Linked DNA regions of Schizosaccharomyces pombe. The protein of the gene in region 2 purifies or fractionates together with the protein of the main gene of each other region. This does not show direct contact. Each region holds a gene or a part of one and is shown on either strand. Other genes may lie near its edges. The genes, in order: tif223, ade3, gcn1 and lsc2.

The links.
Region 1: the proteins of ade3 (region 2) and tif223 purify together in Schizosaccharomyces pombe (co-purification; one study listed by BioGRID). This does not show direct contact.
Region 3: the proteins of ade3 (region 2) and gcn1 purify together in Schizosaccharomyces pombe (co-purification; one study listed by BioGRID). This does not show direct contact.
Region 4: the proteins of ade3 (region 2) and lsc2 purify together in Schizosaccharomyces pombe (co-purification; one study listed by BioGRID). This does not show direct contact.

The regions. Positions count from the first base shown.
Region 1 is NC_003424.3:5,363,586-5,370,857, reverse strand, and holds tif223 (translation initiation factor eIF2B gamma subunit tif223), read right to left. Parts: upstream 3,454-7,272; 5' UTR 3,311-3,453; coding exon 3,162-3,310; exon of another isoform or gene 3,093-3,161; intron 3,038-3,092; coding exon 2,767-3,037; exon of another isoform or gene 2,644-2,766; intron 2,641-2,643; coding exon 2,199-2,640; exon of another isoform or gene 2,158-2,198; coding exon 2,015-2,157; intron 1,944-2,014; coding exon 1,572-1,943; 3' UTR 1,480-1,571; downstream 1-1,479. Other genes in the region: SAGA complex subunit Spt20, read left to right, coding at 1-304, 392-678; amidophosphoribosyltransferase Ade4, read left to right, coding at 4,897-6,498; protein Csi2, read left to right, coding at 7,145-7,272. UniProt on the Schizosaccharomyces pombe protein: Acts as a component of the translation initiation factor 2B (eIF2B) complex, which catalyzes the exchange of GDP for GTP on the eukaryotic initiation factor 2 (eIF2) complex gamma subunit.
Region 2 is NC_003424.3:1,326,607-1,335,845, forward strand, and holds ade3 (phosphoribosylformylglycinamidine synthase Ade3), read right to left. Parts: upstream 6,715-9,239; 5' UTR 6,628-6,714; coding exon 2,656-6,627; 3' UTR 2,485-2,655; downstream 1-2,484. Other genes in the region: RNA-directed RNA polymerase (RDRC) Rdp1, read left to right, coding at 1-2,294; transcription factor TFIIIC subunit Sfc1, read right to left, coding at 7,059-8,315, 8,424-8,537. UniProt on the Schizosaccharomyces pombe protein: Phosphoribosylformylglycinamidine synthase involved in the purines biosynthetic pathway. Catalyzes the ATP-dependent conversion of formylglycinamide ribonucleotide (FGAR) and glutamine to yield formylglycinamidine ribonucleotide (FGAM) and glutamate.
Region 3 is NC_003424.3:2,223,320-2,231,032, reverse strand, and holds the start of gcn1 (translation initiation regulator Gcn1), read left to right. Parts: upstream 1-3,642; 5' UTR 3,643-3,692; coding exon 3,693-3,840; intron 3,841-3,913; coding exon 3,914-7,713. Other genes in the region: rRNA (pseudouridine) methyltransferase Mra1, read left to right, coding at 1-700; U3 snoRNP-associated protein Utp11, read right to left, coding at 1,269-2,018.
Region 4 is NC_003421.2:2,156,730-2,163,616, forward strand, and holds lsc2 (succinate-CoA ligase beta subunit Lsc2), read left to right. Parts: upstream 1-2,699; 5' UTR 2,700-2,869; coding exon 2,870-4,171; 3' UTR 4,172-4,566; downstream 4,567-6,887. Other genes in the region: lnp1 (protein lunapark), read right to left, coding at 1-316, 401-642, 701-721; transcription factor TFIIF complex alpha subunit Tfg1, read right to left, coding at 4,602-4,786, 4,836-5,634, 5,676-5,771, 5,855-6,394; protein Cwf26, read left to right, coding at 6,491-6,887.

The DNA.
Region 1 (7,272 bases), 4.0 Mb from region 2:
CAAAGAAAACGCGATTTTCAACCTACCTTTCAAAGACTACAATTTATTGAGAATGTGCGGCGTAAACGAGCTATTCTACAACAAAGGCAAATGCAAATGCAACAGCAACAAAAAGCGCAGCAGCAGCAATCACCGAAAGCTCAGCAACCACCCGCACATTTGGTTCAGTCTGCTCCAGTTCAAAGAAAAACTACACCCAAAATCCAACGTCTACCACCTAGTAGTATTCAAATTCCCCCTCCGAAACCTATGCAGAAATTCCCAGCTAATGCGGCATCTTCTGAATCGCCCCCCAATGCGACTGGTAAGTGTATTAAAGGCTTATTTCAGTACTTTTTGAGTTCAATTCAATTTTATTTTAATTTTGTATTTATTTTTCTAACAGCTTTAGGAAACTTTTTACCTTCGGGTCCTGTACCTGCAAATGAACCTATGTTAAAACGAGAATCCGTGGATTTGATAAAAATACGACAACTTGCAATTTTGTTTCAACAGCGTGCCTCTCAATTAAAAGCTAGAGGTGCTACACGGGAACAAATTACTGAAATTCTGAATCGTCAAGCAATAGCCGCTGGTACTGATTTGGCAACAGTAATGACGGTTGCACGAAATCTTCATTTTCAACAACTCCAAATGAGACAGCAGCAACAACAGCAGCAAATGAAGGCTGAAAGGTAACTCTCAAATGCTTCATCATTTAATACACGAATTTAGTTTTTTATTTATTATTTTTAAAATTTTATTTTTTTTGTTGCATAAATACGTTTTTTTACTTCACTTCATTTTCCTCTATAAAAACTTTTTTGCTCATGGAACAACTTGGCGTTTTCACTTACCAGTGTGAGATATGTAATGTAGCTGTTTCTAATAACACCCAGTTTTAGGTAAGTAAAATTAATATGTTATTTGGATATTTTTGTATGATGACTATAATTTGCGATTGAGCGATGGTATTGCTCGGGATCTTGCCTGATTCCCATATGGGCTCCATCAGTATGCGACAAATAATCTTCTGATTGATTTCCATTACATCAACTGCTTTTGTTAATACGAATACCTTGCTAACTGTTTTAAGTTTTAAATATTATAATAATGGAGTTAAAGAACGTCCTGTTTTTTATGAACGTTAGGTAAGGCAATTTAATTTTCAAAACAAATAACCGTTCTGCTTTGCAATTGATGAAATATTTGCTTATGATCAATAAATGATTCTTTTATTATCACCAAGATCGCTGAGTGCTAAAGTTTTTGGTTATTTTATTTGTTTTAAATATTTTCGAGTTATTACTAACCCATAGCGATATGAACTTTTTTAGATGTATATGTGTATAACCTTGTATATATGTATAACTTTTTTGCATATATATGTACATGCGTTTTCATCTGTAATTTATTCCCCTTCGCTTTTAGCTAATATTGATCTATGAGTATATATTTTTAATCTAAAAATTCCTGACTAATATCACCTTTACCTTGATTAGTTTAGACACACTTTGTAGAGTAAGTGCACGAAATTTTTATTATATCTATTTCAAAAAAAAGGTTGGCTGACAACGGTTTGATACACAGTATTAGTCCATGTCCGTCTCAATTTTTTCCATATCAACCAGCCGCTCACCCCGAGCGATACGGCCAGCTTCAACGCGATGATCAACGCCAATTTCGCATTCACGAAGTTTTGACTTAGCGCCTATTTGAGCACCTGAGGCGACTATGCAAGATTCTAAACGTACTCCGTCTTCAACAACAATGTTGTCCATCAAAATAGAGTTGCTGACCACTACCCCTTTTCCAATTACACAATTTTTACCGATAATGCTCTTTTTAATGTTGCTGTTATCCTTAATGGTGGTACCTTCATTCACCATACAATCGGCACCGACCAGTGCTCTTTCGGACACGGTGACATCTACAAGGCGTTGTTCTGGAGTAAGTTTGGCGATCTAGTTTGCTGTTAGAGATATTGGATGAAACTGCTAAAAAGCGAGATGAAGCTCAGCTTTCGAAAACATACGCATTTATTAAGTTCGAAATAGTTAGGTAAATTATTAGCCCTAGAACAAATAATCCCATCTTTGGCAATTAAAGCATTAATTTTAATTTCCTGTGAGGATAATCCCCCATCATAATTATCAATATTGTTAGGAGATGACAAAACTTTAATTGTTAGAAAATAGTTAATTAAAAAAAGCACTTACATCTTTGAATGTTCTCTCGTACAGTAAAGGATTTCTGATATTGACATTTAACAAGATACGGGATGAGATCTCCACGAATGCTAGAAATAGATTCTTTCTCCCGGATCAAATCAATAACCCAGTGTTTAAATACAAATATATGGGCATCCGAAAGGTTTGTATTTAACGTAACCCTTGGGTGTTTCCACAACAAAGACATTCTAAATGTAAAATCACTGCCCACGTCTGCGGAACTTTTGGCATACAATAGTCTGCTCGTCTTCTCTTCAATTCCAATCAGTTGTTTTGCATCAATCTCTTTAGATTGACTTGTAATATGCTCATATTTTAACACTGGACTATATACAGCCAGTGCTGAAGGGTTATCAAGGCGAAACTTATCCAAACCGTATATGGGAGGGAGACCAACTATACTATCACAACTGAGACACACAAAGTCATTCTGGTGGGTATCGGTTAGCATTTTTTGTGACTTTAAGACGAGTAATTAAATTGCAGAATGAGAGAGAAAAGATCAAAAAGTCTAAGAACACATGCATATCTACTTATACATAAAAATAAATCATACCTTTATAAGATGGGATACAGCACGAAGAGCATCGGCAGAGCTTTTAGAATCATCTAAAATAGTCGGTGCTTCCACGTGAATACGCATATGTCCCTCGTAGCCAGATCGTAACCAAGCATTGATATGGGCTTCCGCTTCTTCCATGCAAATAAGAATAGCAGAAGTAAATCCAGCAGCTTCAAGCCAATATAATGGGTAGTGAAGCATCGGTTTATTGCCGATAGGTAATAAAGCCTTGGGAAGTGCATCGCTTCCAGTCAAAGGATATAAACTAAAACATGGTTAGTATTTTCTTATTGTTATTTTATCTTTTTTAAGTGTTGATGAAGATAATATGTGCGAAGTCATCATTATCCAAATCGTTAAGTAGTCAGTACTACACTTGTTTGTTTTACCTATTGCCAAATCCTGCAAAAACAACAGCTTGAAATTCAATCGGAATAGACTGTAATTGAATATTCCCCCGATTTCGTCCACCAGAAATAGGTCCAAGGATTGAAGGGCTACTGGCTAAAGGAAGTGCAGCATGCTCATACAACGACATTGTGAGATGTTGTTCTTCAAGGCGTTGGATGCTTTTACAAAAGGTTTTTACCTAAAAGGATGCTTTGAAGCCAAAATCTTTTATAACCTGATAGAAGACGAATTATTGGGTTTTTTTGCAGTACGCCAATATTTGATGAAGATGGAAAACCTTACTTTCCTAGATCCCTACTAACGAGCCAAAAGTTTACACGTTACACATCACTATCTGAAATAAAAATGTGCTGAATTTATATTTGTGTTTAGAAAAATGTATTCATGAAATATGAACTATTGATGATTTTTTTTTAAAATGATTTACCAACTCAAAATGTGGAGCTGCTTGAAAACTAATTATTGCTTTGCACTTGTAATTTTGTTTAATGTGCAATATTAAAAAAGATGTTTTAATAATCAACGATTTATAAATCGGTACGTTTTCGCGATCCTGGTTTATAATCAATCCGATAGTAAAAAATATCAATCAAGCGCTCAGAAAATGATCCTCTGTACACCAATTAAGGAACAAATATTTGAAGCCGGTTAGTAAACTATTATTTTGAGGAATCAGAAGATTAGAGATACAGTACATTGTGTATTGTTTTCATTAGTTTTTTAAGTTTAAAAACCATTGGACTACTGCAATCGTAACAAGTTGAACTAAAAGTTTTGGATTAGATTACCCATAGCTCTCATCTCGGTGATTAATGTATTGTTGTTAACTACCGAGTAAAGAAGGAAGAAAAACCAGAACATTGAAAGATTTTATAACAAATAAATAGTAATGGGATACCTCCGGTAAAGCTCAATAATAAGTTGATGTGTATGCGGCATTACTGTAACACTGCACCACTCTTAACTTCATCGAATTTTTTTTGATATAAGAAGGTTTTATTTAAAGATATATTTTTAAGCTTAAAAAATTTTTTTTGGCAACAAAAATAGCAAACAATTTAATATCATCTACCCTGTCAGCTAAGTAGCAAGCTATACCTGTTACCTATATTAACGTGCGCATATCCCACCTCTCTTTAAGCTTCTATTTAGCGAATCGTTCATCACAATCTTGAGCAGTCATAGTTTCGACTCATACTTCACTATCATTTAAGGCGGACAATAAATTAATTTATACGGCAGCAAAATTTTGCCTTAACAATATACCCAACTACGGTGTTTGTTCAGCGCGTACCTGAAAATCTTTTTTTTTTTGTTTCGTACGCGTTTTAAAAAGTAAGTTAATATAGATATTGATTTTCCAACGCCGCAGTACTTGCCTATGATGATTACCGTTTATTTAGATGCTAGACTTCTGAATTTCATCTTATGTAGCTACAAGGTTTTCTGAGGTCTGCTTAATTGATTAAAATTTTTTATTTTCTGTGATGGTAACATACAACTCATTTTACGGTCGGTACAAAAAAATTGAAATTATATTCCAAGTATTCTCAAACTTTGATTGCTGTCCGAATAGAACAGTCCGACTCATATTATTTTAATCAAGTTATAGCAATTTGACTGGGTGCTGTTTTTTCTTTTGTACATTTAAACCTATCATTTTATTATCTTTTGTATTCAATTCACAACCGAAGCTCTAACAAGTTTTAGAAAATGTGCGGAATTTTGGCGTTAATGCTTGCTGACCCTCATCAACAGGCATGTCCTGAAATTTATGAGGGTCTTTACAGTTTGCAGCATCGGGGTCAAGATGCCGCCGGTATTGTAACCGCTGGAAACAAAGGTCGTCTTTACCAATGCAAGGGATCCGGCATGGTTGCCGATGTTTTTAGTCAGCATCAACTTCGCCAACTCGTAGGTAGTATGGGTATTGGTCATTTGCGCTATCCTACTGCTGGAAGTTGTGCTCACTCTGAAGCACAACCCTTTTATGTTAACTCTCCTTATGGTCTTGTGTTGGGCCATAATGGTAATTTAATTAATGGACCCGAATTACGACGCTTTTTGGACACTGAGGCCCATCGTCATGTAAACACTGGATCTGATTCTGAGCTTTTGCTTAACATCTTTGCTTACGAGCTTCAACGGTTGGATAAATTTCGTATAAACGAAAATGATATTTTCGAAGCTTTGCGTAATGTATACGATCGCGTTAATGGTGGTTATGCATGTGTTGCTATGATCGCAGGCTTGGGTGTTTTGGGATTCCGTGATCCCAATGGCATTCGTCCTTTAGTGATCGGTGAACGTGATACCCCCGAAGGAAAGGATTACATGCTTGCTAGTGAGAGTGTTGTATTGACTCAATTTGGATACCGTACATTCAGAGATATTCGCCCCGGTGAGTGTGTCTTTATTCGTCGTTCCAATAGGGAAGATATACTTGCAGGGTTTAGAGGCCCTCGCTTGTTTTCTCGTCAAATCCTTCCCTGCCTAAGATTTACTCCCGATATATTTGAGTATGTCTATTTCGCTCGTCCCGACTCTGTTATTGACGGATTGTCCGTATACCAATCCCGTTTAAATATGGGTGAAAAGTTAGCGCATACTATAATGAAACGGTTTGGTCCCGATTACATGGAAAAAATTGATGCTGTCATTCCTGTTCCAGATTCTGCTCGAACCAGTGCCCTTGCACTTGCACAGACAGCTCAACTGCCATACGTCGAAGCTTTTATTAAAAACCGATATATTGGTCGTACCTTCATTATGCCAGGTCAACAGATTCGTCGTAAATCGGTTCGTCGTAAATTAAATGTTCAACCTCAAGAGTTTTTTGATAAGAATGTTTTAATTGTGGATGACAGTATTGTTCGTGGTACCACCTCTCGTGAGATCGTTCAAATGGCTAGGGAGTCGGGTGCAAAGAATGTCTATTTGGCTAGTTGCGCTCCTATGATCACTCATCCTCATGTCTACGGTATTGATCTCGCTGATTGTAAGGATCTCATTGCTTATGGAAAAACTGAGGATGAGGTTGCTGAAGCAATTAGTGCCGATGGTGTCATTTATCAAACATTAGAAGATTTATTAGATTCTTGTCGTACGGCTGAGCTGACCGAATTTGAAGTTGGTCTCTTTACTGGCGAATACACTACTGGCGCTAGTAAAGAATATTTAGTCCATCTTGAGCAAATGCGTATTGCTAACAATCGTGCTCGTAAGCATAGCTTTGCAGAAGATGAGGAACGTGAAGCTCCCGAAGACATTTCTCTCCATAACACACATTCAGATGTTACTTTTGATTTTGTTTAATTCCCCAATTTATTCAATGCTTAGTGCTTTATTATAATAACCAATCCTCCATTTACTTTGTCTAGATTGATGCTCTAATCCATTGTTGAATACTAATAGAATGTACAATCGCCCCATCAATGGTTTTTTGGTTGATTTTAATTTCTGAATTTTTGTCCTCTTGAAACTTTTCTTGAAATTAAAGATAATTTCATCAGCTCCTTGTTGTTAATTTTACTTTTTGTTACCAATTAATATATATTGTTTCAATATATAAGTTTACCCATACTCTTTAAGACTATTAGATTATAAGTAGTGTCTGAAAAAAATTTTCTACACACTTTTATAAACATGCAATAATATACAATATTGGTTTTTTTTTTTTGGTCTCTTAACCTTTTCATAAAATGAAACATAATTCAAAGTCTGTTTGTACTATTTGCATAATTATGTTACAAACTCTTTCGACGTTTTTACTTGTATAGTCCACCAACTTCTTCATTTCTTTATATAAATGCGTATAACGGTAAAAGCATTCTTTCGTTTAATCAATAACTAAAAACCTATTAATTTAAGTCTATGTTTCAATACAACTCACTGTTTTGGCGAAACTCGTGTTGAATGATTCCGAAGAGAGGGGATTTCGATATCATCAGTGCCTTTTGTGATGATGTCTAGAAAGCGACAGGCATCCTCTAATGATTTTTTTGACATGGAACAGCTTTTGATAGCGAATGATGCATTAGTGCATCAGAATCACTCTACTCCCAATCATGCAAGCGACGAATTGTCTGT
Region 2 (9,239 bases):
TTCACATTAAAAAATTGTACGTTACACCTACTACTCTTCGAATAGTTGAAGACTCATTAGAAGCAGGAAATCGTGTTATAAGAAATTTTAAGGACTTTGCAAACCGTTTTATGCGTGTGCAAATAACTGATGAATACTATAAGCAAAAAATTCGAGGCGGTTCTGATGGGTTTAGAAATGAAAAATTGTATTCTCGCATCCAACAATTATTAACCTACGGAATTAAAGTTGGTAATCAAATTTACGAATTTTTAGCTTTTGGAAATTCTCAATTAAGAGAGCATGGTGCTTACTTTTTTGCTTCGGGATCTGATCTAAATGCCAAACAGATCAGGGAATGGATGGGTGACTTTAGTGAAATCAATTCAGTATCTAAGTATGCAGCAAGGATGGGACAATGCTTTTCAACGACAAAGGAAATTAATCGATTTTGTGTTGACATATCCCTTCAGGATGATATTGTTCGTAACAACCACTGCTTTACTGATGGGGTTGGAATGGCATCATTATCTGTAATTCGAAGACTTTCTTTGGAAGTAAAAAATCATGATATGTTTCCCTCTGCGTTTCAATTTCGTATGGGTGGTTATAAAGGCGTTTTATCTTTAGCTCCTCCGACTAAGCTTGAATACCATCAAGGAAATCTTGTGTTTCCACGCCGTAGTCAAGATAAATTTAAATCATTCCATAGTACCTTGGAAGTTATTAAAATATCTCGATTTTCAAATGCCCATCTGAATATGCAACTGATCACCTTATTGGAAGGACTCGGGGTTGAAAAAACCGTATTTTTGGAATTGACTAGAAGTCAGTTGTCAAAAATGAACGAATCGATAAACAGCAAACAAAAATCCATTTTAATGTTACGGGACAACGTAGATGAATATCACTCTACTTTAATTATTGCTGATTTTATCCAGGCCGGTTTCCTTGAAAGAGATGATGCTTTCACCGAGAATTTATTAAATCTATATTATGAATGGGTTCTTAGGTTAATTAAGGAAAAACAAAAAGTTAGTGTTCCAAAGGGTGCCTATTTACTTGGTGTAGCTGATGAAACTGGAACACTAAAGGGTCATTATGATGATGCTGTTTTGTCAGTACCTGAAATTTTCATCCAAATTACCGACACTTCTACCAGTTTTGGTTCATATTCAACTGGAAAGCTGAAAACAAGGGTTATAGTTGGATTGTGTATTGTTGCAAGGAATCCCTCGCTTCATCCAGGTGACGTACGTGTCTGTAAAGCTGTCAGATGCGATGAGCTTATGCATTTAAAAAATGTGATAGTGTTTCCGACAACGGGTGATCGAAGCATTCCTGCTATGTGCTCTGGTGGTGATCTGGATGGGGATGAGTACACAGTTATATGGGATCAACGTCTTCTTCCTAAAATTGTTAATTATCCCCCATTGCTTGAATCATCTCCCAAGAAGTCTATAGATTTTTTGGAAGGAAAGCCACTTATCGATTCGGTAAAAGAATTTTTTGTGAATTATATAAAATATGATTCGCTAGGTCTAATTTCAAATGCTTGGAAGGCATGGGCCCATGACCATGATAATAATCCGGAAGGGATATTTGGAAATGTGTGTTTAGAACTTGCAGAAATGCATTCAAAAGCTGTAGATTTTGCTAAATCGGGAGTAGCTTGTAAAATGCAAGCCAAATACCATCCCAAACGATATCCTGACTTCATGCAAAAAACAAAAACTCGTTCTTTTCGTTCCGAAACCGCGGTTGGCAAAATTTTCAGATACGCTGCACGATTCCAAAGAGAAAGTGGCAGACCTGCAACTTATAATCCGATAATGAATACTGTTTATGATCCTTGTATGAAACTTCCAAGGTTTAAAACTGAATATCTGAATGTAGCTGAAGAAGTGAAGAAACACTATGATAATGACCTGAGATCAATTATGGCTCGTTTTGATATTTCCACAGAATATGAAGTTTACACAGCTTTTATCCTTTTTAAAGATGATTTAGCTAAAACCGTAAATGAATATGGTCTTAGGGAGGAAGTTAGCTTTCAGTTCGACCTTCTAAAGAAAAAATACACTCAAGAGTACTTAGAGAAATGCGCTTTATCAAATCAATCGGCATTTGATTCTTCGGAATATGAAGAACGGATAAACAGTGCGGTTGCTGCCACTTACGATGTGACATACGATCAACGTGTCAAATCTGTTGGCAATGGCACTACTGAGGTATTGATTTCATTTCCATATTTATTTTCTAGTCGTCTTTGTCAGCTTTCACGAAAAGCCATGCTTACTGCTAATAATTTTTAAATCGAATATACATTCGAAGCTTTAATTGCTCGTAAAAGGCTAATAGTAATTGTACTCATTATCGACAATGGAACATAGAACAGCAAAACAGGTAGCTAGAGTTAACATTTAACAAGACTGTTGTATGTTTCTGCTGAAGGAAAAGAGTTGTCATAATTTTTACACATATACTCGATGGTTAAAGCAATTTAATCGTAATAATGTATAATTAACGATTTTTATATCTGCCAAGCTTAATCTAATTTTCACCATTAATTTAAGTAGAATAATTATAAAATTTTGTAACACGAAACAAACCAAAACTGTAAAGAAACTACGGCATGTGAACTCCAATTCAGCTTCTCCGGGCAAGATAAATGCTTTAACCAACCCATTTTCTAGCAGATTGGAAAAGACGGATCCAAGGACCATGAACGCCCCACTCGCTAGCTTTCGAATGAGGGTAATAACTGTTTGCAACTTTCAAAACTACACGTTCAGGGTGAGGCATCATAGCTAAAAAGCGACCACAAGGGGAGCGAACACCAGCTATAGCATCTCTGCTTCCATTAGGGTTGAATGGATAACGGCTAGTACGCTCGTTGTAGTTGTTAACGTAGTATATCAAATCCAAACCTTCCTTCTTAAATTGTTCGTAATCGGACTCTGAATCGAAAACAGCTCTACCTTCTCCATGGGCAACGACCACGGGTAAACTAGATCCAGCCATACTTTCAGTGAAAATGGATTTTGAACCACTTGTTTCATCGATCTTTAACATAACTGCACGACCTTCGTATTGCGCTGACTCATTAAATGTAAACATAGGCCAGCTTTTAGCTCCTGGAATAAGTGATTTCAGACGACTGAACAGTTGACATCCATTACAAATACCCAAACCAAATGTGTCTTTACGCTCGTTAAAGAAACGGTAAAACTCATTACGAGCATCTTCGTGAAGAAGGATGGAAGTAGCCCATCCATTGCCAGATCCTAAAACATCACCATAAGAAAACCCACCACAAGCAGCAATACCGACAAAATCATCCAAATGAACTCTACCGCTGAGGATATCAGTCATGTGAACATCCACGGCAGTAAAACCGGATGCATAAAAAGCATATGCCATTTCCAAATAACCATTTACGCCTTGTTCACGAAGAATTGCTACTTTGGGACGACTAGTTAAAGCCAAATCAGCGGTAACTGACACATTTGGATCAAATGTAAGGTGGTATCCTAAACCAGGATCATTATTATCGGCAATATTTTCCATTTCCTGTCGTGCACATTCAGGATTGTCACGAATTTCTTGCATTTTATAAGAGGTTTCATGCCAAATTCCGTGTAATTTAGAGCGAGTTGATTTGAAGATTATTTTACCAGAACGGCTAAAAGATATTGTTTGAGCCTGGCCGGAAAGTACTTTACCGATGCGATGAACACAAGTACTCAAACCATTAGCAGCAAATAACTCCAATACCTTGGCAATGTCACGATCACAAACTTGAATTACAGCGCCTAATTCTTCATTGAACAAAGCCGCAATATTATCGGATGACAAAGAATCTAACTCACATTCAATACCAACATGACCGGCAAAAGCCATTTCACTAAGAGTAACAAACAAACCTCCGTCAGACTTATCATGATAAGCCTGAATGTAGTTGGTTTTATGCAGTTGAGTAATAACGTTAATGAAATTCTTGAAAGTGTCTAAATTATCAAGATCCGGCACCTCATCACCCAACTGCTTATAGGACTGAGCAAGTATAGAACCGCCTAAACGTTGTTTTCCATTTGCTAAATCAATAAAAATCAATGAGGTGGATCCGATGTCCTCAACTTTACGTAATTGCGGAGTCCAAATGGAATAAAGATCATCAACAGGAGAGAAGCCAGTAATTATAAGTGAAAGAGGTGCAGTTACGGATTTCTCCCTACCGTCTTCATTCCATTTCATACTCATGGACATTGAATCTTTACCCACAGGAATGCTAATACCAAGTGATGGGCACAGTTCTAAGCCTATCGCTTGCACTGCTTCATAAAGTTTTGCACCTTCTCCAGGATGCGAAGGAGCTGCCATCCAGTTGGCGCTAAGACGAATACGATCTAAAGCAGGAATAGATGCTGCTACAAGGTTCATAATACATTCAGCGACAGCCATTCTAGCGGAGGCAGCAGCGGATACTAACGCACTGATTGGCTTTTCACCCATTGCGAGGGCTTCACCAGTGTTAATTCCCTTTCCATAGGACGTGACGGTTACGCCAACGTCGGCTACAGGTACTTGCCAAGGACCAACCATTTGATCACGAGCAATCAGACCAGTGACACTCCGATCTCCGATGGTGATGAGGAAGGATTTAGACGCAACAGCAGGCATTCTTAATACGCGTTCCACAGCATCAAGAATTGGGTCACTCGATGGCGCCAGATATGACTTCAAAGAAGAATCAAATTTAGATAAGGGAATTGTTTGAGTTTCAGCTACTCGAGACATCTTGGGAGGCTTGCCAAACAGTACTTCCATAGGCAAATCAATTGGAGTAGTATTGTAAAGTCTATCGGTCAAAATCAAACGTTGCTCTACAGTAGAGTAACCAACAACTCCATAAGGGCATCGTTCTCTTTCACAAATGGATTTAAAAGTATCCAGGTCTTCTGATTTAACTGATAAAACGTAACGCTCTTGCGACTCACAACACCAAATTTGCATAGGGGACATACTAGGTTCAATACAAGGGATATCGCGTAATTCAAACCGGGCACCCAAACCAGCATCATGAACCAATTCTGGCAAAGCATTGGATACACCACCAGCACCGACATCGTGAATTGACTGAATTATATTCTCGTCCATAGTTGTACAAGCATCAATAACCATTTGGGCACGACGCTGCATTTCAGGGTTACCACGTTGAACAGATGCAAAATCTAGTTCCTCAGAGCCTTCACCAGCATTCATACTGGATGCTGCTCCTCCACCCAAACCAACTAATAAAGCAGGACCTCCTAGAACAATAATAGGACTACCAGGTGCAATACTTTTTTTGAAAGCATGCTGCTTGCGAATACGGCCAATACCACCAGCGGCCATAATTGGCTTATGATAACCACGTATCTCAAGAGTTCCATCGCCGCGTGGAACTTCCATACAAAATGTGCGGAAATAGCCATTGATACAAGGACGTCCAAATTCATTATTGAAAGCCGAACTGCCAATTGGAGCCTCAAGCATAATATCAAGAGAAGTAGCAATGTGATAAGGTTTTCCAACATCCAACTCCCAAGGTTGCTTGTAACCAGGAATGTTTAAGTCTGAAACGCTATAACCGGCAAGTCCCGCTTTGGATAAAGAGCCTTGCCCGACAGCTCCTTCATCACGAATTTCGCCACCTGATCCGGTAGCGGCACCAGGAAAAGGAGAAACAGCGGTAGGATGATTGTGTGTTTCAACTTTACCAAGAAACTCAACCGGTTCATCCTTCATTGACCAGATACCATTGACTGGAGCAAACAACGTTCCCGAATTTCCCTCAAAGACAGCGGCGTTGTCAGAATAAGCAGAAATTGTATATTGGGGATTTTTTAAATGGGTATTTCTAATCATTTTAAATAGACTGTAGTCTTTCTTTTCGCCATCAATAGTCCAATCAGCATTGAAAATTTTATGACGACAGTGCTCTGAGTTAACTTGACCAAACATGAAAAGTTCGACGTCTGTAGGCTCACGACTCTTTAAACTAGGCTCTGAGGTATAGCACTCAACCAAATAATCAATTTCATCAGGTGCCAAAGCTAATCCAAACTTCTTATTGGCATGATTCAATCGCTCGGTTGCAGCCTGCTTGTCACCACCTTGCCCACAGTTAAGCTCTATTCTCACAAGTGGAGCTGGTTCGTGCTTATCAAAAACTTCATCCTCTTCCGGAAGTTTAAATCTTAAAGCTTCAGTCATGCGATCATAAAGATGATTCAAAGCAGATTTAAGCATCTCTTCTGAAATGTCATCTTTAAAAACTACTGAATAGGCAATACCTCTCTCTATACGAATCACATCTTTATATCCACAAACATTGGCAATGTTCGTTGCTTTGGATGACCAAGGAGAAATTGTTCCTGGACGTGGAAACACATATACCATCGTTGTTCCATCAGGCTTGAATTCAGATTCTTGCAAATCAGACAAAATTGGTCGCAGACTTTCGCAATTTAAAGAAGAATTGGACTTAGTATAGATCAAGTAGAAATAAACAGCATTTAGATCAGAAACTCCAGAAACTGTTAGTTCCAAAATTTTTTTTTTACTCTGAACGCTCAAGGCAGATCCACCATAATAAACCAACATTTTCGTCTAAAATGATACAAACTCCAAAAGTACTATTGAAATAGTAGAATGGAGATACAATTACAACCTCGCCAAATAGGTTGGCTCAGTTTATGTACTAACAAGTCAGGAAAAAATATGTACTTTAAATTGCGCTATGCAGCGTAGTATTATTGTTTGGTTCATCCGGGGGCAATCGACTAGCGCACCACTAAGCAGCTGTAAGATTAAACATCTGATAAAATTATTGACATTTGTAACCACAAAATCAAGCGAGCTACTTCAGAATTAAAAAATGAGAATTAAAGATCAGAAACAATTGATAGTTGAAACCTACTCATAAGTTATGTTTTACAAGCCATTTACCATGGTCAGTTAAACAAAAAAGAATATAATGAAATTTAAGTTGAGTATAATTTTTTGTATCGAAGTACCTTGACATGGGGGGGGGTTCAATCACCAAATATATCATCGTAGTCATCATCAATTTCCTCTAAATCCTCAAAGCCTTCATGTTCTTGACTTCTCTTCATTAAATTCCTCATTAAATCATTTATCCGATCATCTGTTGCTGAAGTATTCAAACCTCTAACAGTATCATTTAAATCTGTATTATCCTGTTCATCAAAATTCGAATATCTGTCAGATTCCTCTACCTCTTCGGCGTTTAAAATCATATTCACCGCGACTTCAGAAGGCATTTCTCCTTCGATCAGCGCAAAGAGTTTTTCACGCATAAGATCTCTAACCTTATAGTAACGACCGCTTCTATACCATCCTGTGTCCCGATGACATTCAGAACGTAACTGAGTATCTTTCAGTAGTGGTGCAATTGTGGGATCTACGATATCGCACACTTGATAAACACGATTAGTGGGAAACAAAGTCTTGCCATCAAACACGTGAGTTTTAGTCCCTTTATGTTTTCCATTTAGCTTGAGTTTAAAGAACAAAGCTTGGTAAGCAGCTGCATTAGAATCTTTTCTAGGATCGTATCCAAACCGCGTATATGTATCTCTAAATGGACCTGAAGTCCATAAATAAGAAAGGTAAGGAAGAGCAAATTTCAAATAGTGAGTATATGACGGGTCTAGATGATTTAATAAGGCTCTTCTCGTCCAAACGGGTCGTTTTTCAAAAAGAGGTTTTAAAGCTTCTATAACTTCCTGAATTGTCTTCGAAGGCTCACCTAATTTTGAGTGTCTACATGTAGGTACACTTTCAACCCCCATATTTGTAGTGATAATCCAAACTCTGCATTGACCTTTTAGATTGACTATTGTAGTTTTCCCATTAGGTAGCCGAACTCGACCTACTAGTGGATTTTGCAAGAAGTTATAAGACATGGGTAGACTTGTCTGAGAGAAAACAGGAGGAGGAGGCATGTCGACATGTTTTCTTTGTACCGGAGTTAGATCGATGGAAAACTTATTAATGGCGTTATAGTCAAGCACTCGCAGAGTGGAATCTAATTTTTGAACGAATGGTGAATTTTGAGTACTATACTGGAAATCAGCCATATCTCTGAATAAGAAAACTTGACGAATTCTACTGACATTTTGCACAGAGTTGTCCATTTTTTTAATCGTTACTAATAGGTCATTTCTGGATTGCACTCGAGCTTGTACTGGATGATGGTATTTATCTTTAGGCCTTAGATTCAACTCCAACAGAGCTTGTTTTGGGTTTTGAAATGAAGTTTGACATGCCTAGAAATTGTTAGTATTAGGTCAAAAAAGATTATCAAATTCATGTTTTATAAAAGGGGAAGCTTAAAGATGTAAGCCGGTCATTCCTATACTTTTTTAGCAATTTACCTTTTGAATTGATTGAACACCGCCTAATGTCTGAAAAAATGCATCCTTGTTATTAGCAAAGCCCGGATGCTCAATGAGTGCATATTCATTGTCAGAAATTTTTAGACTATTCATAAGATATATGCCTAATATGGTATGCTATAAAACACTGGAAAAAGTAGGGCAAAGACTTTATATATATTTGCTTTTAAAGTAATTTAATTAATAATCTGGATAACTTATTCCTCAAATGAAAAATTAATTGATACACATCAATATCATTGCTTCAAAAGCATTTTAATTTTTTGGCAGCTAAAATAATGTTGTTCCAAACCTCGGACATCGTACAACAATACAGTAACATCATAACACAAGATTTTTGCCGATCCGTTAATTCACAGTACCAGCCAATTTCCCAAGTACGTTATTTCATACTACCAGCCTTCGGTAGCGTCCCATAACATTCGAGCCACTCGCCCCGTTTTGCTTCATTTGCCAAACATAACTCATAGTAAAGTTGTCATTACAGGAAGTTTCAAGGTTAACCCTCTTAACTATTCCCTAGGGTGTTTAGCTTATATACCCATCTTATAAAGGGGCTCAGAATTCTGTTACCGAGGTTGTTGCCGTTAACTCTTTGACTTGCCGAGACATATTTACGGAGTACTTGAAAGGAACAAATCATTTATTTACCCACCACATAAATTTACCCTTTTCTAACTCATCATTGTGTACAAATTTATTAACAGACGTTCTTTTGAAGAAAGACAACGTTTACATATTCAGTAATAGGTGCATTCATTTAAGTTTCGAAATTACATTCGGTCCCAATCCTAG
Region 3 (7,713 bases), 900 kb from region 2:
TGTTACTACCCATATGGCGCCAATACCAGCGAGGTCAATTGGTTCTCATGATACTACAACACAGCGTTTGATTGTCGTATTGGACCAAGCATGTTTGGAAATTTATAAAGTTGGCAAGGCTAAGGATGCAAAATATCAACTTCTAAATTGCGATGATCATCAAGGTATTTTAAAAAAGTTAAACCGTAACATTGCTCAAGCGCGTCCTGATATTACTCATCAATGCTTATTGACTCTTTTGGATTCTCCACTGAATAAGGCAGGTCGTCTTCAAGTGTACATTCACACAGCTAAGAAAGTTTTGATTGAAGTGAATCCCTCTGTTCGTATTCCTAGAACTTTCAAACGTTTTTCCGGTTTGATGGTGCAGCTTCTTCACAAGCTCTCTATTCGTAGTGTGAATGGCAATGAAAAGCTTCTAAAGGTGATCAAAAATCCAGTTACAGACTACCTTCCTCCGAACTGTCGAAAGGCAACATTATCTTTTGATGCTCCTACTGTTCCTCCTCGCAAGTATCTTGAGACTTTACAGCCCAACCAATCGGTTTGTATTGCAATTGGTGCTATGGCTCATGGTCCGGACGATTTTTCGGATGGTTGGGTTGACGAAAAAATCAGTATTAGTGACTACCCTCTGAGTGCAAGTATTGCTTGCTCTAAATTTCTTCATTCTATGGAAGACTTTCTAGGAATTGTATAATTATTAAGGTAAAAATTTTTGCATTGTCTTCATTGTTATTCAGCTTATATCCTGTGCTATAGATATTCACTTTTTGATATAGCTTGAATTTTTTGGTACGTTTCGTACTTTACATTTTCTTTAGAGAGTATTAGAATAAAATAACAACTATAATTCTAGCTTCTGCAATTACAAAAAGAAAGGAAACAATTTATCACACTACAAGGCATTGAATTAAACCATTCCATACACTTTTAAAGTTTGGGAATTACAACCTAAGACAAACTCTTAATACTCACCGATAAAATAATTCGGTAATATTGAATGACTCACAACACTATGAAGCTCAATATGAGAAATAGATGGATATTTGCTTAGAATTAGACAGATGATTAAACCAAATTATTCATAAATAAGCAATCCATTCGTTAAAAATTCCAAAACCTAAGTACATTCATACTAAATAGAGAAAATGATAAATAACAAAAAAGGTACAACTAAATGAAAGAAACGAAATAACAACCAGTAAATCACAAACACAACAAACTGAAAACAGTTCCTCAATTATGTTAGGAGCAATTTAAGGAAATTATCGTTTTCTCTCATTCCTCCACTTGTATACCGGTTTTCCGTTTACGACCTTCTTTTTCTGACGGCCTCCTTTTCCCTGTAAAAGTCTATCAAGCTCGACACGTTCTTCAGCAGCCGCCAATTTTTTGTCGCGTTTCTGGCGCAAAAGAAGCTCGGTCGCCGCCTTTTCTTTTAATTTTGAGTGCAATTTTCCAGAAAAAGGCTGGTTTGTCAGTTCATTGTTTTCAATTTGATCTTTCTTTACACGATTTTCGGTTCGACCAACCAGATCATCTGTAGTTTGGAAAAATTCAGCTGGGTTAAAACTTTTTGCCTCTTTAACATTGTCTACGAAGATGGTGTGCTTCCTGGATTCATTTTTATTCCGATGAGCTCCCACAGTATGCATTTGTTGTTCCAAATGATCAATTTTAGCACGTTCAACATTGCGATGATGCCGAATCCAGCCAATGTCTTGAGTTTTCAAAATTTTGATTGTGTCCATATCGATGGTTGAATCCTCGCGCTGTTCAAGGGGTACTCCATTTTTGGTCTTTTTGTGTGTCATTTCATGATAAAACTCATCAGGGTTTCTTTCAAGGGCTTTTTCACGAAGACGTTTTAACTTCTTTTGCTTTGTCTTATAATCCTGAGCACGCTGCGCATAATCCTTTCGTTTCTCTAGCAAACCCCATTTTCGTCTTTCAAAAGGCTGAGCTCTTTCTCGATGATTTTTCCTTTGACCTGCATTTTTAAAAGACGAAGACATCTTTAAAAAAGTTATGGTTAATGTTTGGCTGTTTGTCAAAGAACCGAATTATTGGCTTTTAGCAGATTCGCCTCTGCAAAATATTTGTGTTTAGGGCACTACAAGTGTTAGCGTGCAATGTGCTCAGGACGTTAAGATACGCTATTACCCCCTTGGCTAGTGCTTGTATTGTTTACGATTTGAAGTTATACTGTTAATACTCTATAGATATAATCAAATTTTTTAGAAAGAGTCTTTGGCTGAATGGTGGCTTGTTAGCTTTCTAGTAGAATTGGAAAGTTTACTGTTAATGTGCAGCCCATATCTATCAGTTTAGCAATACTTATTATTAAAAAATAATTGTCTTAACTTCTCTATAAAACTTTTTATTCATTGATTTATTCTGCTCAAAAGGAACGGAAGCCTCAAGATAATTTATTAATTACTGAAAAATAAAAAATAAGGAAAGTAAGAGCAACGCATTAGGACTAATCGCTATGCTGTCGTTAACATTAACTGTCATCGATATCTCACTACATTACACATTACTTAAGTTTAATGTCCTTAATCTTATCCATTACGATGCCGTCGTTCCCAATGTATGTGCTTGTGGTTGACATAACTCAATTGAACAAAAAGTGCATCTCTTTGTTCTGTAATTCCACTGAATTGGTAAATAATGTTAAGCATTGTTATACCGATTATCCTTCAGTATGGCTTTATTTTAAAAAAAGATTTTGTTAAATAGTCATCGTAGTTTACTGTATCCTCAAAGCAGTTATAGATGCTGTAGCTGACGGCAAGTTGTCTTTACACACTTCCCACAATGAAAAGGGAATAGATCAAAGAAGAGAAAAAGCTGTTACTGGTGAGTGTAAAACGCTTGGCACAACCGAGAGTTTCATAGCAAGTATATTAGATTTTTGTTATTCGATTCAGAAGATTTAATTCATTAAACATTTGTACTTTGATTTTTTCTTAATTTACCCTTAATGCTTGTACAATATAGAATATTGACTGCAGCCTAGCAAAAACTAGGGAACTAATATTTACATGTAATATGCGTTATTAAATGTGTATTTTTTTTTTTTTTTTTTTTATGGGAAATATAATTAAATTCGAACTGATATTAAATATTATTTTTAAATTTAAAAAAAAAAAAAAAGGATCTATAATATTAAAATTAATCCTAACTTGCTGGTACTTGAACGAACTCTTTATAAAATGACTGTTTAGCAAATAATTGGTTTTGTTACACATCAAAAAGAAAGAAGAAACTAAGACTAGTTACATAGACAAATTTTTATATGGATAATTGCAACAGACCCTGTAGAATATGTGTCCCAAAATCGCGTAAAATACGATAGGTGCATTTAAATCGCTGATAAAATAAAGCAATTAATTTAGGAAGCAGTTGTCTGTGAATTCTAAAAGTATTGATAAATATAAACGATATTAGCCAAAAAAAATTTAAAAAAAATAAATTCTCTTATGAAATTATCAGGTATATAGCCGTTTAGATTTCTTTTATACTCTTTAATTTTGCGCAAAAATACCTATCTTTAAGAATATTACTATTAACTTATTAATTTGGTTCGGTAAACTCGAGTTCGTTAGGTAATCGAAAATTGCTTGACGCTAATGTACCCTCTGCGAACCTGTCCATAACCAACATTTCTTTCTCCGATATCGGTCATGTCGGTCGAAGAACCTGGGATAGAAGCACATGGTCATAAAGATCGGATGCTTTATGCCATGTTGCTAAGTAAAGATACTTCGCTCGCATTTTTGGGATCGAAGAAGATTATGATAGATATCCTTCAGCATATTTGTCGTACTCAAGGTAATTTAGACTTCTAGACTACTAATTTTATGAAAACTGGTGAAGTTCTTTTTGTTCTAACTTTTCATTTCAGATATTGACGAAGAATCAGCTATTGCTGCCTTGGAAGATATTTTTGAAACTTTACCACGAAATCTTTCTAGAGATGCTCGAAAACAAATCGAAATAACAATAAATCATTTGGTCAGTAGATTACCTTCAATAGTGCTTCCTTTCTTAGTTCGTCGGCTGACCACCATCGCTGGAAGATTGGATCGCTTCAGGAGTACTGTCTCTGTATCATTTGATTGTCTTAACTGGGTTAATTCAATGATTCCCAACCTTCCAGAGAAAGAGCTACAGTATTGGATTTTAGAACTGCTTCCACTACAAAGCAGTTTTTTATCATATGCTCTACGCGATGGAAAACCCAGTGTTGCTGACAGTGCCATAAAGTCTACTAGGAGATGCTATCGTTCTTTATTTTGCAAAAAAATGGACTCCTTGAAGAAGTTGGTTAGTTTTCTGTTGACAGAAACCGAGAATGCTATTCTTCCACCCAAATCTCTACCTTTGTATGGTGTTATTATTAGCACATGCTACTATTTTCACCAATCTCCCAATCCTCGCAATGAAATTTCTCAGCAGGCTGAGCTCTTTTCAAAAATAATGGCCCAAAATGTTTTAATGGCAAAACCTGCACTTGAGAAATACTTGTATCATGAATTTTGCTACAGTCTTGGTTTGCTTCTTTCAGTAGATCAATTGAAGCTATACCTACTTCCTTCCATTGAAAAAGCTTTACTTCGCTCTCCAGAAATTATCTTTTCAGGTATACTTTCTTCTCTGGCTCATGGTTTCGCGGATTCAAAGGTGGATGCTTCTTCTTTGATTCTCTCGTCTGTACTTACCTCGTTTGTGAACGGACTGAAAAGCTCAAACGCAGAGGTTAGAAGAAACTGCTTTCAAACGTTTAAGGATTTATCAGCTAATGCGAGTGATAATGAATCACTTTCACGCGTTGCGTCTGAACTGATTACCTCTCTTAGAACCGGAAAGGTTACGGCTTCCGATCAGCGTGTTCTTTTTGTTGATGCACTCTCGAGTCTTTCTCTAAAACATATCGATGCTTCAATGCTGTTGAATGAATTATTACCTCTTTTTACTAAAGCAAAAGAGAGTGATTTTAATTCGCTTGCGTCATTGATTGTTAAAACGTTGAAATTTTTGTTAATGAATGGTCGTAATCCCGGAGACAAAATTTACGATTTTCTCTCTAAAAGCCTACAGAGACCTGTCGCTCATGAGTCGATGTTTTGGCTCACATCTTTAGCTACAATGGCATGGGATCTTCCTGCATCTGATGATGTTCAAATAGAATTTATCAATTTCTTTTTAAATAATTTGTCTATTCTTACGGAAAAGGCTCTAATGTCTGTATCTGGTGCTACTCAAAATGGTACATACTTAGCACCTATAATTTATTTAAGTTTCGGTGTTAATAAGTTGTCTGTTTGGAATAGTGAGAGAATATCCCATACTCTTGAATTGCAGGACATTTTAGTAAAACTGTCAACTCCCAAAAATAATGATGTTTTCATTTTCTCCAGCAAAATTACCAATAAGCTTAATGATGATCAGTCGAAACTTTGGTATTTTCAGGGCCTCTGTGATTTTGCAAAAGTTTCTGATAATTTGTTATTTTCCAATTTTGTTGAACGTTGGTTTCAATCGGTCATCGGCGTTTTTTCTTTTGCTAGCCGTGAAAATTCTAATCGTGCGCTAAAGATTCTTAAATCGGCAATACTATACCGTCCCCATCTTCGTATGTCAATTTGCTCACAACTATGGAATTATCATGCTGATTTCGAGAAGTCCAAGAGCGTAGGAAAGTTTGACTCAGCCAAATACGATGAGATTTCCTCATTATTTCAATCCTTAATCCTTTCATCGATGTCCGCTGATACTTCTAACTTTTCAAACCAGGAACTTGTTGACTTCGATAAATATTTGGTTGAACTCCTCTTCCTCTCCTTTGCATTTAAGGATAAGTTTGATTGGATTCGCTTCTGTCAAGTGTCTAAACGTGATCCCGCTACTCTTGTTTCTGAACGCATACACAGTATCATCGAAGAAATAGAGTTGTTACTTTCTTCTGCTATCAAGGACTCTAAAGAGACAGCAGCTATTGCGTCTATTTCCATGATTGTTTTTGTCGCTCCTGAAGAATCAATACCTTTGTTCGTAAATGTTTTCCGTAATCAATTGTTGCACCTTAACATTTCTTCTGTATCAAGTACGGATTTAGAAATTTGGAAGACCCCTGAGGGTGTATTGTGGGATAACGTTTTAGAAAAAAAATCTTCAAAGAAGCTTGATAAGAATACCAAGGATTATGAGACTAAGAGATGGGAAGCTGAAGTGAGGGCGAAACAGTCTGCTAAAAAGCCTGCGAAGTTGAGTAAGGATCAACAAGCTCTTGTTGATGCACAACTCGATGCTGAAGCTAAAATTCGTAGTCGAGTCAACTTGATTGCACTTTCATTAGAAAGGGGATTAGGCATTATTCGGAGCTTAGGTGAGGCTGTGCAACTCGCACCTGCCCTATGGGTTGAAGATGCTATTGATGTCTTACTTTTCCACAACGTTCTGAAATATAGTGAGCCATTTCTTAAAAACTTGGCCTATGATACTTTTCTGCTTACTTTGAAAGCTTCTGGATTTTCTGAACGATTAGGTGATAGATCTTATTCATCGAGTCTCGCCTCTATCCTTGCCCATACATTTAGTGTAAATTCTTCTGAAAATATTAAGGAATTAACAAAATCCATACTTTACAAACTTCGCTTTGCCATTGAGCAAAACTATTTTGAGCCACAAATGTTTGCATGCATATTTCCATTACTTTATGACTTGACCTTTAATATCACCAATTCTGATGAAGAAGATGAAGCCGAATTACAACTTTTGGTTACAGAAATTTTGGAGTTTCAAGCACTTTACTCAGCTTCACTAAGGAGAATGCGTTCAAAGCTAATAAAATCATTGCTGCACTTACTTGAGATTGCACCTACGCAGTATCAGGAAAATAAAAACTCTTTACTTTCTCTTTGTGAAGGGTTACACTCGACATATACCGATGAGGAACTTAATTTATTATTAAGTAATCTTTTTCACCCGGAAAGTAGTATCCGATCAGCTGTTTTGCAAGCTTTACAGGCTTTTGATTTATCACGTTTTGAATTTATTAAGGAAATCTTTCTGGAATTGTATGATGATAATGAAACAAATGCATCTATAGCTCATCAAATATCGACCCAAAATGGACTTGATGCTACCGAAACTTCATTTTTTGAACTTCAAATATTTTTTACTCAAGATTCGGACTATCTTCAGCAGATCATTGGTAAATCTTTAATTGATTTGCTTGACGAGTTTGAAGAGCTTGGTCAATTTATACCGAAGGAATTAATGCGAACATATCGTGAGAATGCTTTACCTTCTGCTCCCGAATATGATGAATATGGAATCATTAAGAAAGAAACTATTGGACGCGATTTGGGGCGTATAGCTAGAGAATCAGTAGCCGTATCCTTTTTTCACATTTCCAAATATCTTTCGTCCAATTTGCTATTACCCTTCTTGGAGTTCTTGTTAACTGCTTCGGAAGCGGAGGCACAAATTCCAGTAACTGATGCTTCCCAAAAAGTGTCATCGAAAATGCTTGAGGCTGGAAAATTAGCAATTTTTCAATCAGGTGCACACCAGGTTGAGGCTCTAATGGAACTTTTTGAACAAAAGTTGAATGTTGATTCCTTGCCTACTGATGCTAATGATCGTTTACGGGAAGCTACTGTCGTATTATTTGGCACGGTAGCACAGCATTTACCTTCA
Region 4 (6,887 bases), on a different chromosome or scaffold from region 2:
TTCGCTATTTTCGTTGGCGCCTACAAGACCTTCCAAAACCCGATCGTACCAATGTTGTGGATGCATGGGATCTGAAGAAGAAGAGGAAGACCCTGGTACGCTTTTTGCAGCAGCGGCATTGGAAAGCTTCTTTTGTGCAAGGGTTGGCTGTTCACCGTATTTTTCCAGCAGAGCTTGGGTCTCGAAATATTCCTTTCTACTTTTTAAAGCATCTAATATTTTTCTTTTTTCCGCATTTAATTTATGTAAATTCATTCTAGCACGCGACAATCTTTTTTCACAAAACCACGCAATTGCCCATCGAAACATGTAAAGACTAAACAAACAAAAATTAGTGAGTGAATTCATGCCAAAGCAGTACAATGCCTAACTATAATGTACGGCAGATGTCAATGCATACCTAAAAACACCTAAGATGTATAGAGAGATTCGAAAAAGCTTAGAGAATAAAGGATGTTGGAACAGGATGGATGAGCGACTTGCCCAAACTGCCATACCAATCGTATAGATTGCCAAAGAGCACACAGTATACCGAAATAAAATCTTTTTCTTTTGACTTTGAATATTATCAATATTATACTGAGCCTCTTCCAGCTTCATCTCCAATCGATCCAACTCCCCACCAAAATCGAACTCCTTCTTCTAATCACATGTTAGTGACTTTGAGCCTCTAAAAACTGAGAAATCCTCCTTTACAAACCTTTTGAAAAAACCAGCCCATGTTAATAAATTAATAACGTCTAACCTTTCAACGACTCACTTGACAATGAATAATTTTTGCTTATGGTTAGGAGAGTCGCAAGTGCTCGTTTCTATGAGAAGCTCTATCCAAATCACGGTTTTGCATCGTGCTATGAAATAACGTTATTAAGTATTACATTATACTTGTTTGCGAATTTTATCGAGTTGTGCTATTTGAAACTATGAGCGCAATCGATTTGCAGCGCGGCCTTACCGAGGGAATCTTACAAAGTGACTTTTGGACGAAAGTTGTGATTTTGCTATTTTGGTCAGATGAAGTAGATTTTTAATTGATTTTGCTAGAAAAAAAAAACCATTGGCTTCACATTTTGAACAACGCTCAGCCTTGAATGATGGCGACTGCAATCATAATAGAGAAGTAAATCAACAAATCTATTCCTTCAAAGGGTACTAAAGCAAAAATGTGAATATTTTTAAATCAGGTATAGGCTTTCACTGCATATTCGCTTTTTTTTTTTTTGTTTCTCTTTTGTATTGCGACAACTTTAGTGAATCGCTTGAAGTAATATTCTGATACACTTATGGGTTTGCTTCTTTAAAATACGATTCTTTTTGCTTTTTGAAATATTTTAATATCACAATCTATTAAATTTTTTAAAATTTTGATCATTTATACGATTATGAACTTTCATGAATCGCACCAACCTTCGTATTCCCGTGTTAGAGATTCAGCGTTCATCAAGAAATTTTCAACTTTCTCTTCAAAACAGAATGGTTAGTATGCCTTTTTATAAAATTCTACACATCCTAGTCATTTACATGTTATTGTTTTAGTACATGCTTATGCAAACGAAAAGAATTGCTTAACCGACTTTTGTTTACCTTATTGCACCTAGCCGATAGCTTAATAATCTAACGAAGCTTAAAAATATTCGACATTAATAATTTCTTTGGTAAAAATTTTATTTGCATGTGTGCGAATGCGAAATTTCAGGATTATATACTAATACCAACATGCTGGAAATTCTTTAAACGCTATCGAAAAACTAACTTAATATAAAATTTTATATCCAAATAGGTCACTTAAAATCTTGCCAAATCGGAGCTTTCTGTCTTACAATAGTTTAAGATATTTTAATTCCATTCATTGAATTCGAAAATCTATTAACATTAGAAAAGAATCGCTTACATGCCATTCTTTTATATTAACAAATCCTTTACAAAAGCCAGTGTAAATAGATGATGATTCATTGAAACTGCTGAATACTTAACATTGCACACGACGCTATTACGCAACGCGTAAAACAAGATAATGTGTAAGCTACGAAGTTTGGTATCTGATTTAAGGATACGTAGAGCTACGGTGAGTTTTCCTTGTGATCTATTATATTACAATACACAGGTTGTATAAGTAGCAACTGAGTATAGGTATTGTATTAACTGGGTTATAATGTTACCTATCACTAATATAGCTCATAACTGAACTGAGGAACGAGATTCAGCAGTAGCTCTATTTATAGTATTCAGATAATATTGATCTTAATAGATTATCATTAAGATCAATCTCCATATCGTATCATACATGGTACGATATATAATTAGAACATGTGACATATAGTGATACACAACGTAGTGTATCATAGCGTAGTGTAGTATTGCTGACATAATGTATGATTTGTGTCGCTATCATAATTTGTTGGTAGATTACTCTCATTGTGTGCATATAGCAATTCATCAAATGCAAGTAGCTTTATTTGTGTTTGATAAAAAAAATGCCATTTGTAATTTCACGATTATGATGCTCATCTTTCATGCTGAATGTATTCATCGTGGATAGCGACTCTAGTACTCTTTGCTGCATATCGTTACTTAAAATACTGTATGTTAACAATATTTCTATCAACGAATAACAAATTTGCGTTATGCGATGCAATTTACTATGTTTGCTGTCCAGTCATGGCAGATATATCATATCGTTTACACGTACAATATCACTCACACCCAAGTATTGGTCTTTCTACAGCCTACTCTTTGTTGTAGTTTAGGAGGAGACTCTCTCTATATATATTTTTTAAAAGAACGTGTATCTGTATGCTACGCTTCTCATATATTTATCAAAGAATTGTTTAAGTTCATCGCTAGATTCTCTCAATCCAACTTTCCTACCATGTTAACCAGAAGTGTGCTGAGAAAAGCACCTCGCGCTTTTTCTCCCTTTTTACAAAAAAGAAATCTAGCTTTACATGAATATATTTCTCATGATATTCTCAGAAAGTTTGGTGTGGACGTTCCTCGTGGTGCTCCTGCTCGGAGCGGTGAAGAGGCAGAAAAGGTTGCTCGTGATCTTAAAGTCACAGATTTGGTAGTTAAAGCTCAAGTTCTAGCAGGCGGTCGTGGAAAGGGCCAATTTGACAGTGGCCTGCGTGGAGGAGTACGGCCTGTTTATGATGCTACAGAAGCGAGAATGTTTGCTGAACAAATGATCGGTCATAAGTTAATTACCAGACAAACTGGTCCTGCTGGAAAGATTTGCAATGTTGTCTATGTTTGCGAGAGGAAGTTTATTCGTAAAGAGTATTACTTCGCTATTTTAATGGATCGTGAGAACCAATGCCCCATGATAGTCGCCTCCGACCAAGGAGGTGTTGACATTGAGACTGTAGCAGCTGAAAATCCTAGCGCTATCATCAAACGATCTCTTCCCAACAGTCCAAATCTTGACCCTCATATCGCAGAAGAACTTGTTGACAAACTCGGCTTTTCCTCTTCTAGCAAGCCAAAGGCCGTTGACGCAATCGTCAAACTTTACAAAGTATTCAATGATTGTGATGCTACACAAGTAGAGATTAATCCCCTTGCTGAAACTACTGATCACAAGGTGTTGTGCATGGATGCTAAGCTGAACTTTGACGATAATGCCGAATTTCGTCATTCCAACATTTTCGTTTTGCGGGACATTTCTCAAGAAGATCCTGATGAGGCTAGGGCTGCCAAGGTTGGGTTGAACTTTATCAAATTGGACGGTAACATTGGTTGTTTGGTCAATGGTGCTGGTCTCGCAATGGCCACTATGGATATCATCAAACTTCATGGTGGTGAACCTGCTAATTTCCTTGATGTCGGTGGTAATGCTAATGCTGAAGCAATTCGTGAGGCATTCTCTCTCATCACTAATGATCCCAAAACTACTGCTATCTTTGTGAACATTTTTGGAGGTATTGTTCGATGCGACGTTATTGCCAAAGGTCTTATCTCGGTAGTATCAGCGTTGAATCTGAACATACCTATTATTTGCAGACTTCAAGGAACCAACCAAGGTGCTGCCAAAGAGGTAATCAACAACTCAGGTCTCCGTATTTTCTCATTTGATGATCTTGATGAAGCAGCTAAGAAGGCTTGTCGTTTCAGTCGCGTTGTCGAAATGGCACGTGAAGCCGATGTGAATGTTAGCTTCGAGCTACCTTTGTAGGCTGCTAATTTTAACGGCTTTAATGTATAATTGTTTACAACCCCCTTTTCTTATTATCATTACGACATACGGCATCATGGAATGATTTTATATAATGACTTGTGTATATAGAATTCTTAGCACAGCTGTTTACCATGTCTTAAAGAAATGGTTTGTTATTTTTCTTCTTTATATATTTTATACACATTTACAGTTATATAGTAGCATAGTTGAACATCGCGATCGTAAACTCGTGTATTTGATACTATACCGATCGACGAGTGCACTTCTTAACAATCCGACGTTTTCTATTTTAGGGGAAATGTTAAATTGTAATAGTTCTACTATGCTCTTAAATTAATGCAATTTTGAATTTTGTTTCCAAAAATAAAACAAATGTTTTCTTTAATGTTCATTAATATATAAACGTTATTACATAGATAATTCATAACTAGTTTTTTAAAACGAGTAGCTTGTTCTCAAATCGAGCAACCTTTCGAATGATCTTCTGTATTCCCAACCGATTTCTGTTGTCGGCTCTAATTTTGCGTTGGAACAGGTGAACTAGATCCTTAATAGAAATGGGACCAGCTCTTAAAGCCTTCATTACCTCTGCCTCCGTAATCAGATTAGAATCTAAAAGCACGTTAATAAATTTTCTGGTAAATGTAAAACTTTAGCATACCATCAATTGGAACATTTGTAGTATCTCCCACAACCTCCACTTGATCTCCTACACTCGTTTCTGTAGACCCCATGCTAGGGACCATACGGGGAAAGTCATTGGCAAACCGTGATAACTTTTCACTTGATAAGCGGAGAATTATATATCCAGGTTTGTTAATAAGTTGTTCTTGAGGCCTTATTTGAATAGAAGTATTAGGTGATTGTAGTTGCGATGAAGCTTTGACAGGAGATACGCTGCTTGGCGTTCGTTCTAGTGGTCTTGGTGTATTAGTTTTGGAAGCGTTCGCAGAAAATCTAGACTTTAGTTTTTCTTCACGCTTTTGCAATTCTTCTTCTTCTTGCAAAACTTCTTCTTCACTAGACGCATCATGGGAGGAAGCATAAGGGTCCTCATCTTCCTCATCACTCTCATAAGCTAAATTCTTTTCAAGCAATTTTAAGTATCTTTGCAGCTTTTTTCCTTCACGCGACATTTGTCTATCATTCTCCTCTTCAAGGTCGACATCTTGATCAGCTTCACCAAACAAATTGGCAGTTAGCATTTCCTTTTTAATCTTGTCTTTCAACTTCTTATTATCTTCTTCATTTCCTTCCATAATAGGTGCTTCTTCATCGTCAGCGAATTCCTCGTCATAATCTAGTTCATCATCACTTCCACTAGCTCTCGGTCCCGTTACAGGACGTGCATTTGGAACCGTCTTAAGTTTATACATGGGTGAAGCAGAGCCTGCCTCTGCTAAGTTTTCTTCACTCTCCTTTTTCATAAACCAGCGAGGAATCGGAGTTTTTTTATTCATCTAAATGGGTTAGACAAGACCTGATGGAAATAAGGACTGACCTTTGCCTCCGCTTCATCAATTGAAAGCGTTTGGAAATTGTTACGTTGATTAAATCGATAAAATCTATCAGTTGGAATCACCTTAAAACCATTTTCCTATAGAGTAAGCATAAAAAATCTTAAATGATCAAAAGATGAATGATAAACATCCAACATCTTCAAATGGGATAAAAACTTACAGAGAACATGAACAATACATATGCAGACGATTGGCCGCCTTCCATCGTACTAACCCATGTGTTTTTTCCTTCAAAATCTTCCATAATCCAAGGAGATAACTCCTCCTCTTGTAGTCTGCGGGCCTGTGGATCAACTTTGACGACCTGGCGAGTTTTCCTTTTAAAGGCATTCTGCTTCATGTTTTGAGCGCCACCGTAAGGAGCGATTGAAGCGATGTTCACGTTACTGGAGCTTCCTTGTTCTGCATTTTGTTCTCCGTTTGACGAAGATGGAGCATTGGGGTCTCTGCGTTGCATTTTTATGGGTGGCACAAAGGATTTGGAAGGATCAATGGCTTTGTTAGAGTGAAATTTTAATAAATGGTATTTAGTTGTTTTTCTTTCACTCTCTGGACACCATGAAAGCTGGAAATCCAAAAATTTTTGCTGCGATTGTGTCGAAGCATTATTTTGGGAGTCAGGCTCCTCAACTTTGGGTTTCTTCTCATCAGGATTTTCCTGCTTTACATTTTCAAAAACTTTTGTCTCTTGTGAATCCATGTTCTCCGATAAAATATGTCAATACTGATCTTCCGCCGGTGTTGGAAGGTAGCGAGTTAAGAAGCGCTCAGGTAAGAAAATATGCATTCAGCACATATGTCAAACGCCGACTATATTGCTAAAAAGTATTTACGAAAAGATCAAGGGAAAAAGAAAAAGAAGAAAGAGAAGGATTTTGTAGAAATTCAGGATGAAGATGTCGCTGGATGGGACGATGACAATTCATTTTCACTAGTCAACAGAGAACTCACATCTTTGCATGATGCCCCTACAATTGTCGCAAATGAAAGCCTTAAAGATCGAGATATTGATGCTATTTATCAGAATATAGAAAAAACTACTAATAAACCTGCTCAGTTGTGGAAAGCTGTGGGGAATGATGAAGTTGTCGAATCTGAACAACAGGATTCTCATGATGCTGAATCAATTCCTCAGTTCGGTCTGTTAACTGGAAAGCAGGTGACCTTTAAAGCTGAAGAAAGAAGAAAGAGAG